Mus musculus: one gene and its partners. The protein of the gene in region 2 interacts with the protein of the main gene of each other region in a pairwise test. Links are inferred from orthologs where the notes say so. Each region holds a gene or a part of one and is shown on either strand. Other genes may lie near its edges.

What was found.
Region 1: the proteins of Rufy1 (region 2) and Utp25 interact in binary tests that used the Homo sapiens proteins (3 or more experiments, as listed by UniProt). The link is inferred for Mus musculus from reciprocal best matches to the Homo sapiens genes RUFY1 and UTP25.
Region 3: the proteins of Rufy1 (region 2) and Rab39b interact in binary tests that used the Homo sapiens proteins (3 or more experiments, as listed by UniProt). The two-hybrid records come from large-scale screens. The link is inferred for Mus musculus from reciprocal best matches to the Homo sapiens genes RUFY1 and RAB39B.

Annotation. Positions count from the first base shown.
Region 1 is NC_000067.6:193,127,877-193,131,627, forward strand, and holds the start of Utp25 (digestive organ expansion factor homolog), read right to left. Parts: upstream 2,376-3,751; 5' UTR 2,275-2,375; coding exon 2,168-2,274; intron 2,108-2,167; exon of another isoform or gene 1,976-2,107; intron 1,655-1,975; coding exon 1,615-1,654; intron 671-1,614; coding exon 391-670; intron 1-390. UniProt on the Homo sapiens protein: Component of the ribosomal small subunit processome for the biogenesis of ribosomes, functions in pre-ribosomal RNA (pre-rRNA) processing. Essential for embryonic development in part through the regulation of p53 pathway.
Region 2 is NC_000077.6:50,428,701-50,432,451, forward strand, and holds the start of Rufy1 (RUN and FYVE domain-containing protein 1), read right to left. Parts: upstream 2,426-3,751; 5' UTR 2,406-2,425; coding exon 2,084-2,405; intron 1-2,083. UniProt on the Homo sapiens protein: Activating adapter involved in cargo sorting from early/recycling endosomes. Regulates retrieval of proteins from endosomes to the trans-Golgi network through interaction with the dynein-dynactin complex.
Region 3 is NC_000086.7:75,575,729-75,579,479, forward strand, and holds the start of Rab39b (ras-related protein Rab-39B), read right to left. Parts: upstream 2,504-3,751; 5' UTR 2,280-2,503; coding exon 2,065-2,279; intron 1-2,064. UniProt on the Homo sapiens protein: The small GTPases Rab are key regulators of intracellular membrane trafficking, from the formation of transport vesicles to their fusion with membranes.

The DNA of each region.
Region 1 (3,751 bases), on a different chromosome or scaffold from region 2:
CAGAGTCACCTTAAGGACCCAGTGAGAGCAGCCTCATCTCCTCTCCAGCTGCTTCATATAAACAAATCTACAACATGAAAGTTTGTATTTTTATGTCTACCTCCCATCAAACCTGGTCTCTTACTGAAGCGGAACAACCTCTTCAGTGAACTGAGCTGTCACAGTGACCACATAATGTCCCCCTGATACGCCAAGCGGTCTTACGGGAGGTTACAAGTCCCCCAAAGAGTAAGCCAACAGCATTTTCCTGATGAGAGGGTCCTGTGTTCCCATCAGAGTCTCAAAAGCTAACCCAACCCAACAAGGCTGAATCTCTGCCTTGGAACCACATGCTCTCACTCAGCCCACACAACACAGAATGAAGAGGACAGGCCGGCCCCAGGCACTTACGTTCCTGTGTCTCAGCAGCCTCCTCAGCAGCCTCCGAGACAGCAGCTTCTCCCACACTGCCATCCTCACTGCCAGCTTCCTCATTCATTTCTGCATCACCTACAGCACTGTCATCTTCCTCTTCCTCTTCCTCCTCCTCCTCCTCCTCCTCCTCCTCCTCCTCCTCTTCCTCTTCCTCAGAAACATTCTTTAATGTAGCAAGCAGTCTGTGGTACCCTGAAACGTGCTCTTGTTCACTCTCTGATTCACTTTCAGAATGTGAAGAATCTGAACTCTCTGGCTAAAGAAAAATGAGAAATTAATATATATATATATTGTTGTCAAAATAAAAATAAGAAAGAAAATGTGAGAAATACATATTAGTGGAATTTCCTCAACCACAAAGAAGGAAATTATATCACATGCAAGGGGATGGATAGAATGGGTGATAAGGAAGTAAAAATAAGTCAGACTAAAGACAAGTAATATTTTCTCTTGCACAAGGAAACTAGATTTAAAAGAAATTAGAAGTCATGAAATCAAAAGGACAAGAATTTGGGAAGAGGAAAGGGATGAGCAGAGATGGAAGACAAACAGTCAAAGGAAGGAAATGAATACGATCAGATAATTTTGACTGGAAAAGTCCTTAGGAAACCCGCTACTTTGTATAATGAATATACATTAACTCACAGACAAAACAAAAATCCCTATGAGCTTTTCAGCAAATATTACAGTCTCATCTCTTGAACCAAGCCGGGCATGAAACTTAAATAAAACAGTTAACCAAGCTATGGTTCTAATTGACATCAGCTGCACGTGGAAAGAAAACTGACTTTTCAAACAAAATTTCAGGTTATGAGTTTTAACTTACATCTCAGACATCAGGTTTCATGTTGCATGATGTAAGAGGAGAATTACAAGCAAGTGTCACTGTCTGAGTCTCCGGGCCCCTTGTCCATTTTATACTGTGTGAAGCCTTTCATGCACAAGGAGCCAGCACTCTGATGAACCCCTTCCACAGAACTTAAGACAGTGTCATGGGGTAGTTTCCAACCATAGCCTCTCTCATCACATGGTAATTTCTACAGCTGTCTCCATCACTTACAACCAATTGGGTAGCATTACTAAAATCACAGCTCACACCCAAAACAGAGAAACACGGGGATGCAAACCAAACTTTACGTTTACACCCAATCTTAAAGGTAACAACCCAATTCCAACTACTATAAAGAAAAAAAGCATTACCAGCTGACAAATCTGCGGCTTGGCTTCCTTCTTGGAAACCCTAAAATAGAAATAGATAACATTAAACTTTAGCTGCTAGTTCGTAACAATCACGAAAAGGCATAATGATTCTGCTTTAAATGAATACCAAAAAAAAAAAAAATGTCCAATACAGGATAATATCCAGTCAGTGTAAAAAATGAAATTCTGCATGCACAAGGGCAGAGATGATCAGCAGACAAAAGGGTAACAGACAAGAGAGCTCAATGACATCTCTTAAGAAAGGATAAGTCAGAAACTGGCTTTTAACGGCACACCGGGGTTCACCTCTCAGGGCCAACTTTATCTCCCGACCTCCCGTCCTGTTTTTGGAGACCCTTACGCGGCCCTGGCTGGGCTAAGCTGCGATTTCGCGCCTGAGCCCGCGCGTGCTCGGATGACAGGCAGCACGGCCCGCGGTCTCAGCAGGTCCCGGTGCAGAGCGCACCTCCGCAGCGGGGTTCCCGTCCTGCACCGACCGGACCCGGCTCAACTCGGCCGGAACCAGCCCTCCCGGCGGCCCGCGCACCCCGACCTGTCGTAGAAGGGGTGCTCCTCGCCGAAGTCGCGGAGGTGCTTCTTCTGCTTCTTGGTCATGGTGCTGAGCATCTGGCTGCGGCCCCGGTTCCGGCGTTTGCCCATAGCGGAAACGTCAAGCTCGCCACAAACAAACAAACAAAACACAAGGTTCCCAGTGGCAAGTTGTCGCTGTCGCACGTGGGCACGCTGGCTTTACGGCGGAGGCGGGAGCCGTAAAGCAAAGCTGCTTTACGCCCAGAGAGTACGACAGGCGTTACACCCTCTGGTCGCTATACTGCCCCCTGCCGGAGCGCCTCTAGCACATAGGCGTGTCTACGCATGCGTGATCGGAACACCAGCTCCTAGGGCTGCAGGGACTGGCTGTCTTTCCGGGATGGAGTGGCTTGCTTTGTGCTTATCTTTTACCTTTTTTTTTTTTTTTTTTTTCTCCAAAATTGAGGAGGACGAGGTTGGTGGTCCTTTGTCCCTCTCCCAGGAGCTAAGAACTGAACCCAGGACCTTGCACTGGTTTTCAAGCACTAAGCGAAATCCACAACCGCGTGGTTCGCTTTGATATGTCAATGTATGCTAGCAGAAATGGTTGAATGCTACTCAGAAGAATAAGGACCATCGCTTAAGGGTGCCCGCACACCCCACTTAACGGCACACTGTCCAGACGGATCTAGCGAGTCAGTCTGTTGAGAAAGATGCAGACACCGATGCTTAGCAAGAAAGATCATTCATTAGTCTCTGGGAGTATGTGAGGTGATCCTCTCCTGACATTGCTTCTTTAACAAAAGCAGAAACACACAAGATAAAGTAGGATCTTGTATGTGTTATCACCCAAACGAGTGAAACTGTACATTTAAAGTTGATGTGTATTAGCCTGAGTGTGAGTAATAGCCTAAACGGGCCAGGGGCGTTGCTCGCTCATATGTAGGGTGCTTAGCCAAGGTACTTTTCAAATCCTGGGGTTTGATCTTTAACACTGAGCAAAACAAACCCACACAGCAAATAAACTAGTGGTGACTCACACCTGTGATCTCAGTCCCCGGGAGGCCGAGGCAAGAGAATGAAGTGTTAGAGACCTTTACTTAAAAAATAAAATTGAGCCGGGCATGGTGGCACACGCCTTAAATCCCAGCTCTTGGGAAGCAGAGGCTGGCAGATCTCTGTGAATTTGATGTTACCCAGGGAAAATAAAACAAGACCCAACTTCTCTAAATAAACAAAGGAACGAACAAAAATAGCTGAGGCCTGTATTTCAAGGACACACAGCAATAGGTGAGGCTGTTTGACACCACACAAAGACATACTTCCCTTCAAAACTAACCGAGGTTCAATGTAAACAAAGTACTAGCTCCAGCTTAGACTCAAAGCACAACTGGAGACATCGAAACATCTTTCTGTGGAAGAGTAGGGGTTTACTCAGGTCCACCTGTCCGCCCTCTGTTCCAGGGTCATCTACTACTAATAATTAGGGTGGGAGTGGGAAAGCCAGTGGTGGTGGGGGACAACCCCCCCCCCCCAGCAAAAAAGTATCAAAAGCCATGCAAACAGAAAGGGTGGTAGCCAGCACCTGGCCTGGCCTAGGAACTCA
Region 2 (3,751 bases):
GGGGAGAACCGACTCCTGAAAGGCATCCTCAGACTTCCACAGGCACAGCACGGCAAGCATAATGATTAAAAACATCAGGGCTGGAGATGAAACTTGAAGCCCTGAGTTCAGATCCCCAGTGTTAAACACTGGGCACGACAGCATTTGTTAGTATTCCCAGTGCTTCCCTGGGAAAGCAGAGACAGGACGATACCTGGCGATGTGTTTATAAAAAAAAGATAAAGAGGTATAAGATATGTTCTATGGGGGTGTGGTGAGGTATGGGGGAAGGGGCTGCCTCGGCGGGTCCATGCCAAGGCACCCCCTACCCTCTGAGGGACCAGCCACATGATGGTATAGAATAGAGCTTATTCAGGGCATGGGGAGGGAAGTTAAGAGCGTAGTAGAGGCAGAGAGAGGGAGAGAGTTGAGAAGTATAGGCCGGGCATGGCCATGAACACGTGGAGAGAGGGGGACGGGGAGGGGGAAGGGAAGAGCAAGAGAGAAGCAAGGGGGAAGCAAGAGTAAGAGGGAGGAGGGGGCAAGCAGCCCCTTTTATAGTGGGTCAGGCCTGCCTGGCTCTTGCTAGGTAACTGTGGGGGTGGAGTTTAGACAGAATGCTAACACCTGGGTCTTTTTGGACAGTGTGGCCAATTGGTTAGCTCCGGGCTTAGTGAGAGACCTTGTCTCAAAAATAAGGTGGGTTAAACAGTTGAGGAAAACAGCCAACTTCTGGTCTCCAAGTACACAAGCACATGTACAAACATATGTGAACCCATATACACACACAAATGAAAAGGTTATAAAAATAACCAAGATTGCCAGGCGGTGGTGGTGCACATCTTTAATTCTAGCATGAAGAAGGCAGAGGCAGGAGGATTTCTGAGTTCGAGTCCAGCCAGGTCTACAGAGTGAGTTCTAGGACAGCCAGGGATACTTAGAGAAACCCTGTCTCAAAACAAAAAACTAAAAACAAAACAAAAAAACCCCAAACAAAAACCAAGACCAAAACCGAAAAATCAAGGTTAATTCATTACCAAGGAAAGAAGCTTTTTTGTTGTTTTTGTTGTGATTTTGTTCTTTAAAATAAAATCTGGGTACTAAAGTCTATTGTATGCACGTGATGCCCCAGGCATTTACAGTCAACACTCACTTTACCTCAGCAACCTGAAGTCTGCATGGTCCATTCACAGTAAGTGACCAGGCCAAGTGAAACGTGGTTATTTATTTATTTGTCTGTTTATTTATTTAGAGGCAGGGGCTCACTGTGTACACCAGGTGGGTCTCAAACTCTCAGAGCTCCACAAGCCTTTACCTCCTAAGTGCGGGTCTTAAAGGCGAGCACCACAACGCCCTTGGCTATCCTTTATATTTTAATTTTAGATATGTTCAGAAACACCAATGGATTATAATTAGCGCAGTTCTGAGCACGTACATTAACATGTGCAGGAAGTATGCACCCGAATCACCAAGCCCAGCTATAAAAAACAAATAATAATTTACTTTTGTTCTTTATTGGTATGCTGAAATTCTAATCTAGATCATAACAGCTGAATTGGATTATTCAACGTAGCTGATTAATTTTTTTTTTAATCCCCGTTTTTATAGACTGGGAAACGCGAGTAGGACAGGTGATGGGAAGTCTTCGTCCCACGGGGGGTGGGGTTGGGGGTTAGTGGCGGGAGAATAAAGGGAACTAAAACCTCCTGACTCTGACTCGCTGCTCTCACCAACTTTGGAATACGCTGTCAACCTCAGCCGCAGGTGCAAACCGGCTGGCTGCCGAGATTGTTAACTGGGGACCAGCACCGGACTTCATTTGTCAAGTATGCAAAATACGAACACTGGTGATTTTCCGTCTAAGCCTCTAATGTAAACCTCCTATTTAAAGTCAATCCGTGATCACGACGCAGCTGCTCTGAGGTTCACAAAGACAAACAAGGTGGGAGGGGAGTCCCGGGCCGCAGTCACCCTGGCCCGGTGGGTGACACCAATTGCAGAGCCCCGTGCCGCGCCGCGCGGCACAGCTCCGCGGAGCAGCTCGTCCGGCCGGTCAGGTTTCCCCAGCCCGGGAGCAGCCCCGGCCCGCGGGACCCCGGCCTACCTGCGCGCTCCCCGCCGCCGCCGCCGTCTCCCAGCCCCGCGGCCGCGCGCAGCGCGCTGCCGCAGCTCGCCGACAGGTTCCCGGTGGCTCTGCGCGCCAGCGTCAGGATGGGCGCCGACCAGCTGTCGGCCACTCGAGGCCGCGACGCACTCCGCAGCTCGCCGGGACTCGGCAGCTGGCTCCGGTCCACGATCTCGAACGCTTCCCCGGACTCTAGGCCTGCTTGGGGCTCAGGCTCCGGCCCCGGCTCGGACTCCGGCTCCCGCTCCGGCTCCGGCTCCGAATCCTGCCCCGCCCGGCGGCATTCTCCGCGGGCGGCCATGTTGTTAGGTCACGTGACCCGCCGCTGCCCTGGACCGACGACCTTAAGCCGCTGCGGCCTTGCTCGCTCTCACCTGGGCTTGCTTTCCTTGTATAGCATTCGGGAAAGTACGATTCCTAACCGTAGGTGATTCCCAGCCCGGAGCACTTGGAAGTTACTTTTGGACTTTCTACTTCCCACCCCGGGAATGCGCCTTATTTTAACGTTTTGCGACACAACTTCCTCTTTTAAACTTTCATTTCACATGCCTTTTCCCCCTTTGAATCAAAATCTCACTGTTGGATTTTTATTTGTTGTTGTTATTGTTGTTTCTTTCCCCCACACAAGGGAGACATTAAAACAGGCCATGTAGCCAAGTGGTGGTGGGACAAGCATTTAATCCCAGCATCAGGGAGGCATAGGCAGGCAATATCGCTGAGGACAGCAGAGTCAACGGAGTGAGTTCCAGGACAGCCAGAGTTACACAGAGAAACCCTGTCTCAACAACGCAGTCCCCATCACCCCCAGTAGGCCACTTGGCAGGGGTGTGCTTAACTACTTTTTTCTGGGGTGTGTGTGTGTGTGTGCGCGCGCGCGTGCGCGCGCGCGCGGCATGGCAGTTCTGGGAATTGTACTTCGTATCTCATACATGCTAATCAAGACCTCTACCACTGAGCTTCACCCAACCCCCAACACACATAACCAACAGGACCGTTGAATTTGTGATCCTCCTGTCTCCATCTCCCAAGTGCTTCTGACCCCACACCATGCTAGGCAGGCACTCTACTAGCAGAACTAGCAGAGCTATGTTCCCAGTCAGAATTTCAGTCTGTAGCTCCGGCTGGCCTAGAACTCAGTAATAGAGCACTGGCCTTGAACTGGTGATCCCCCTGCCTCTGTCAAGTGAGTATGGGGATTTTATGTGTGCCTTACCATGCCAACTCATGTCTAATATTTTCGACTTCATATTTTTCGGCAGCTTTCTTCAGAACAGGCTGTAAAAGGGCTGCCAAAGAAATTAGGACAGATGAGTCAGAGGTGTGTGTGTGGTGGTGGGGCTTTTTCTTTCAAATCAAATGAATCTGAATGACAGCCTAGCAGGCAAGGTCAGCAGTGGTGGTCTGGAAATGAGCTCTGTATTCTGCTATTAATTAAGTTGATAGGAATTGAACCAACCTCATTCCTAAGTGATAAGGAAACGCAGCACACAACGTACCTTGTGATTATTGTCTCTGCTTTCCAACTCTGGCTTGGATAAGTCACCCTACAGATATGTGGTTATTCAGCCTATTTTCTTACTAGGGATAGAAGGGAATTTGGCAAGATGGAGATGCGAATGTCATGAGAATGTAACAATTTGCAAAAAA
Region 3 (3,751 bases), on a different chromosome or scaffold from region 2:
ATCTGCCAAAATAGTGAAAGTGTTCCAATGAAGTTATATTATTATTTTGAATCATGTAATTAGGTTATTTTAGCCTACTTGTACATTTATTGTACTTCTTAAACAGAAGAAACATCACATATTTTAGTTTCTTGAGTTGACGAACCTTATTACAAACATATAATGTGTTTTGCTTAAGAATGTAGAATCTCATGAAAGGATGTAGAATAACTTGCCTATATAATCACTTGCTTTAGACTACTGCAATTTTTGAAATCTATTTTTAGGATTTCTGTCTTCTTGAGAGGGTATGATAAATAATAGCTGAAAATGTATGGGAAAATGGCTCAGTGTTAATGTGGGGGAAATGTCTAGGGAATTACAGCCCAAGCTAGAAGATGATATGGGTAGGCCTTACAAATAAGTTCAGGTCTCTAGAACCAGGGATATTAGCCCTGGGAAATGGATATTCATAATTTCTTTATGTTTGAAGATTAATGGGGAATGATAATTGTATTGGAAAATGCTCCAATTTGTGAAAATGTTGATTTGAGAAATCAATGAGCAGTGTATCCAAGCTCTAGAATATATTTATGCATTAGTGGTTTGTATTTAGCACAGAAGATATCAAAGTATTTTAATCATAGTGTAAAGTTATATAGAACTAGACACTGACCCTAAATTAAAAAAAAACATAAAAATACAAATGACATATTGGGGAAATAGCTCACAACATACATGACATAAAAGGGTTAATGTTCTTTTTGTTAGACAGAAGTCCAGGCTGGCCTTCAACTACTTATCGTTCTCTTGCCTCAGCCTTCAGAGGGCTGGAATTATAGGGCTATGCCACCACTGTTGGTGTTGGGATAATCTGTAAAGTAGTCCTACAAATCAATACTATATAATACATAATAAATAGTAAATATGAACAAGCCATTCATACAGAGATCCCAGCAAACATATATAAGAGACCTTTCTTTATTCATGAGAACTTATATAAAGTATTTGCCAGAGCTTTGTACAAGTGGGAAGTTAGAGGCAACTTAATTACCTAACTAGTATCTTCTGCGTCCAACTAATGTTCAGTGGAGAATGAGTCAGTGTTTATGAACTGAGTCCTTTTGCTCTGGTTCCTCCTGTTCTACCTTACTTTAGTTCAAACTGTTCTCTACAAAGTTTTTATTAGTTTGTTTTCTGTCACTTATGTTTTATTTATGCTTTTCCCTATTCTGGGCATTTCCTATCTTTACTTGGGCTTCATCTTCTCCGGTCTCTCCTCTGTATTCATACATGAAATTACAAATAAATACTACAAAGGAAGAGCAAAGGATTGTGAAAGAAAAATAAACATGCTGAATGATTATGTGCCCAGTGGTACAGTAGGGAGTGGCATATAAATACAAACAACAAAACACTCTTTTGTGTGTTGCCTCTGTTTCTGTTTCTTCTGACCATGCTAGTACTGAAGTTCCAAGAAGTCAGGGGCTCTGACTATTTACTTTATATGGAATTCTCTTATGTGAGTAACCTCATACTATTTCTTCAGAAATGATTCCACCCTCTGGCAACTGACTGTATGATGGTTACAAGACAGTCAATTAATCAGTCTCCATTTCCTTTATATTAGGGCATATTCATTCTCTCTGTGTCTCTGTCTCTCCCTCTGTCTTTTCTTCCCCACAAATATAAACGGATATATAGAAAGAAGTCAATATACATCTACCTACCTATAGCTTTCAGTTATGTTAAAATGACTTGGATTTTTTTAAACTATGAATCATAGGGTCTGATTTTGATGAATTATACAGTGATCAATTTCAAGTTATTTATTAGCTACCAAAAGCAGATTGATGGAGTTGTGGTTCAAATAATGTGATAATGAATGGCCTTCTCCTGCCTGGGCGGTTCTTTCCTGCATCGAACTCAAAGGTAGCTCAAAGTGGGCTTGAAAAGCCCCAGACAGACCCTTGTTTGTCACCCTGGCAGCATCGCGAAAAGAACCGGGAAGTCCTCTTTCCCCAGGGACTGAATAAGCCCCAAAGACCCTCCCACTGCTCGCGCGGGCCCGTGGTGCACTCCCACCTGAACCTCTCTTGACCCGCTGTATCCCAGATCTGGAGCTTGATGCGTTTTCCTGGCTCGATCTCCACCAAACGGGAGAAAAAATCTACCCCCACGGTGGGATCTGAAACCTGAGCAAAGCGGCCCTCGGTGAAGCGGCGGATCAGGCAGGACTTGCCCACCGTGGAATCGCCGATGACAATGAGCCGGAACTGGTACAGCCAGATGGCCTCCATGGCAGTGGCCTGGCAGGACTCTTCGGCCCGGGCCTGGGGAGGCGGGAGGGGGCGCCCCACCAAGGCCTTAGCACAGATCAACCCGTTTCTAGATCGGCCGCGAGAACATCACTGGCCTGGTAGCCTGAAGCAAGGTAGGCCCAGGCGCTGGGGGAACGAAGGGATGGATGCTGCGCTCGCAAAGGTGATGAAATGGCAGCAGCATCAGCACCACGCACTCTGACTCATCACTGAAAACCGAGTTACTGTAATTCTCTGCGTAGACGCGGCAGTAGTTTCACCACACTGTCTGTTAGAGGAGCGCACACAAAAACGGACAGGAGAGTAATGTGTTCTGTTTTTAATTATACCGACCACTCTCCTATTAATATAAAAATTATTATAAAAATTAATATAAAAATCTCTCTGCCGTTACAATTGCAAATCTAATTAATTTTTATTAAATCTAGAAAAATACATAAAAGTAAACAAAAGTCGAATAATTGTCTTCTCCGGGTTTCCATGCTCAAACATGCAAATATTATTATTCAGGCATATGCATGTGCATTTATTGCTATTTATTTTTTAAAAGACACAAAATTTAATCCTATACTTTTTGTGCAAATAACAAAGTGTCATATACGTCTCTCCATTTCCAACACATTTTTAAAAGAACATTCACACTGTTTTCCCTAATAGCTGTCCTAATTTATTTATAACCAGTGGTGTGCAAGGGTTCCCTTTGCTCTACACACACACACACACACACACACACACACACACACACTTGTTATCTTTAATCTTGTTCCCCTCTGCTGATTAGAAGAGCACAAAATCAGTCTCCTCATTACCATAAAATATGCAATAAAGTTTCCCAGCAGTAGGAGAAATCCCAGGGAGTCAGCACATTTTGAGTGCAATGTATAAACCTTGCTATGGGTAATCCGCTTTCATGATCATGGCATATCTTGTGCTAGGTAAGTATCTCTTTTGTCTTTTTGATAATTGTCCTTCATATCTTGGTGAGATGATATTCTACTGTGATTTGCACTTTCTTTATGATTAGTGATATTGAATATTTTTAAGATTTCTTTTCATGATTATTTGCATATATTCTGAGAAATATGTTTAGATTTAATGCTTATTTTTATTGGATATGTTCTTTATTTACATTTAAAATGTTTTACCCTTTCTCGGTTTCCCCTCCAGAACCCCCCATCCCATTCTCCCTCCCACTGTTCTATGAGGGTGCTCCCACACCCAACCACCCACTCCCACTTCCTGGTCCTGGCATTCCCCTACACTGGGGCATCAAGCCTTCACAAGACCAAAGGCCTCTCCTCCCATTGATGTCCCACAAGGCCATCCTCTGCTACATATGCAGCTGGAGCCATGAGTCGCTCCATGTGTACTCTTTGGTTGGTGGTTTAGTCTCTGGGAGCTCTGGGGGTTCTGGTTGGTTGATATTGTTGTTTTTCCTATGGGGTTGCTAA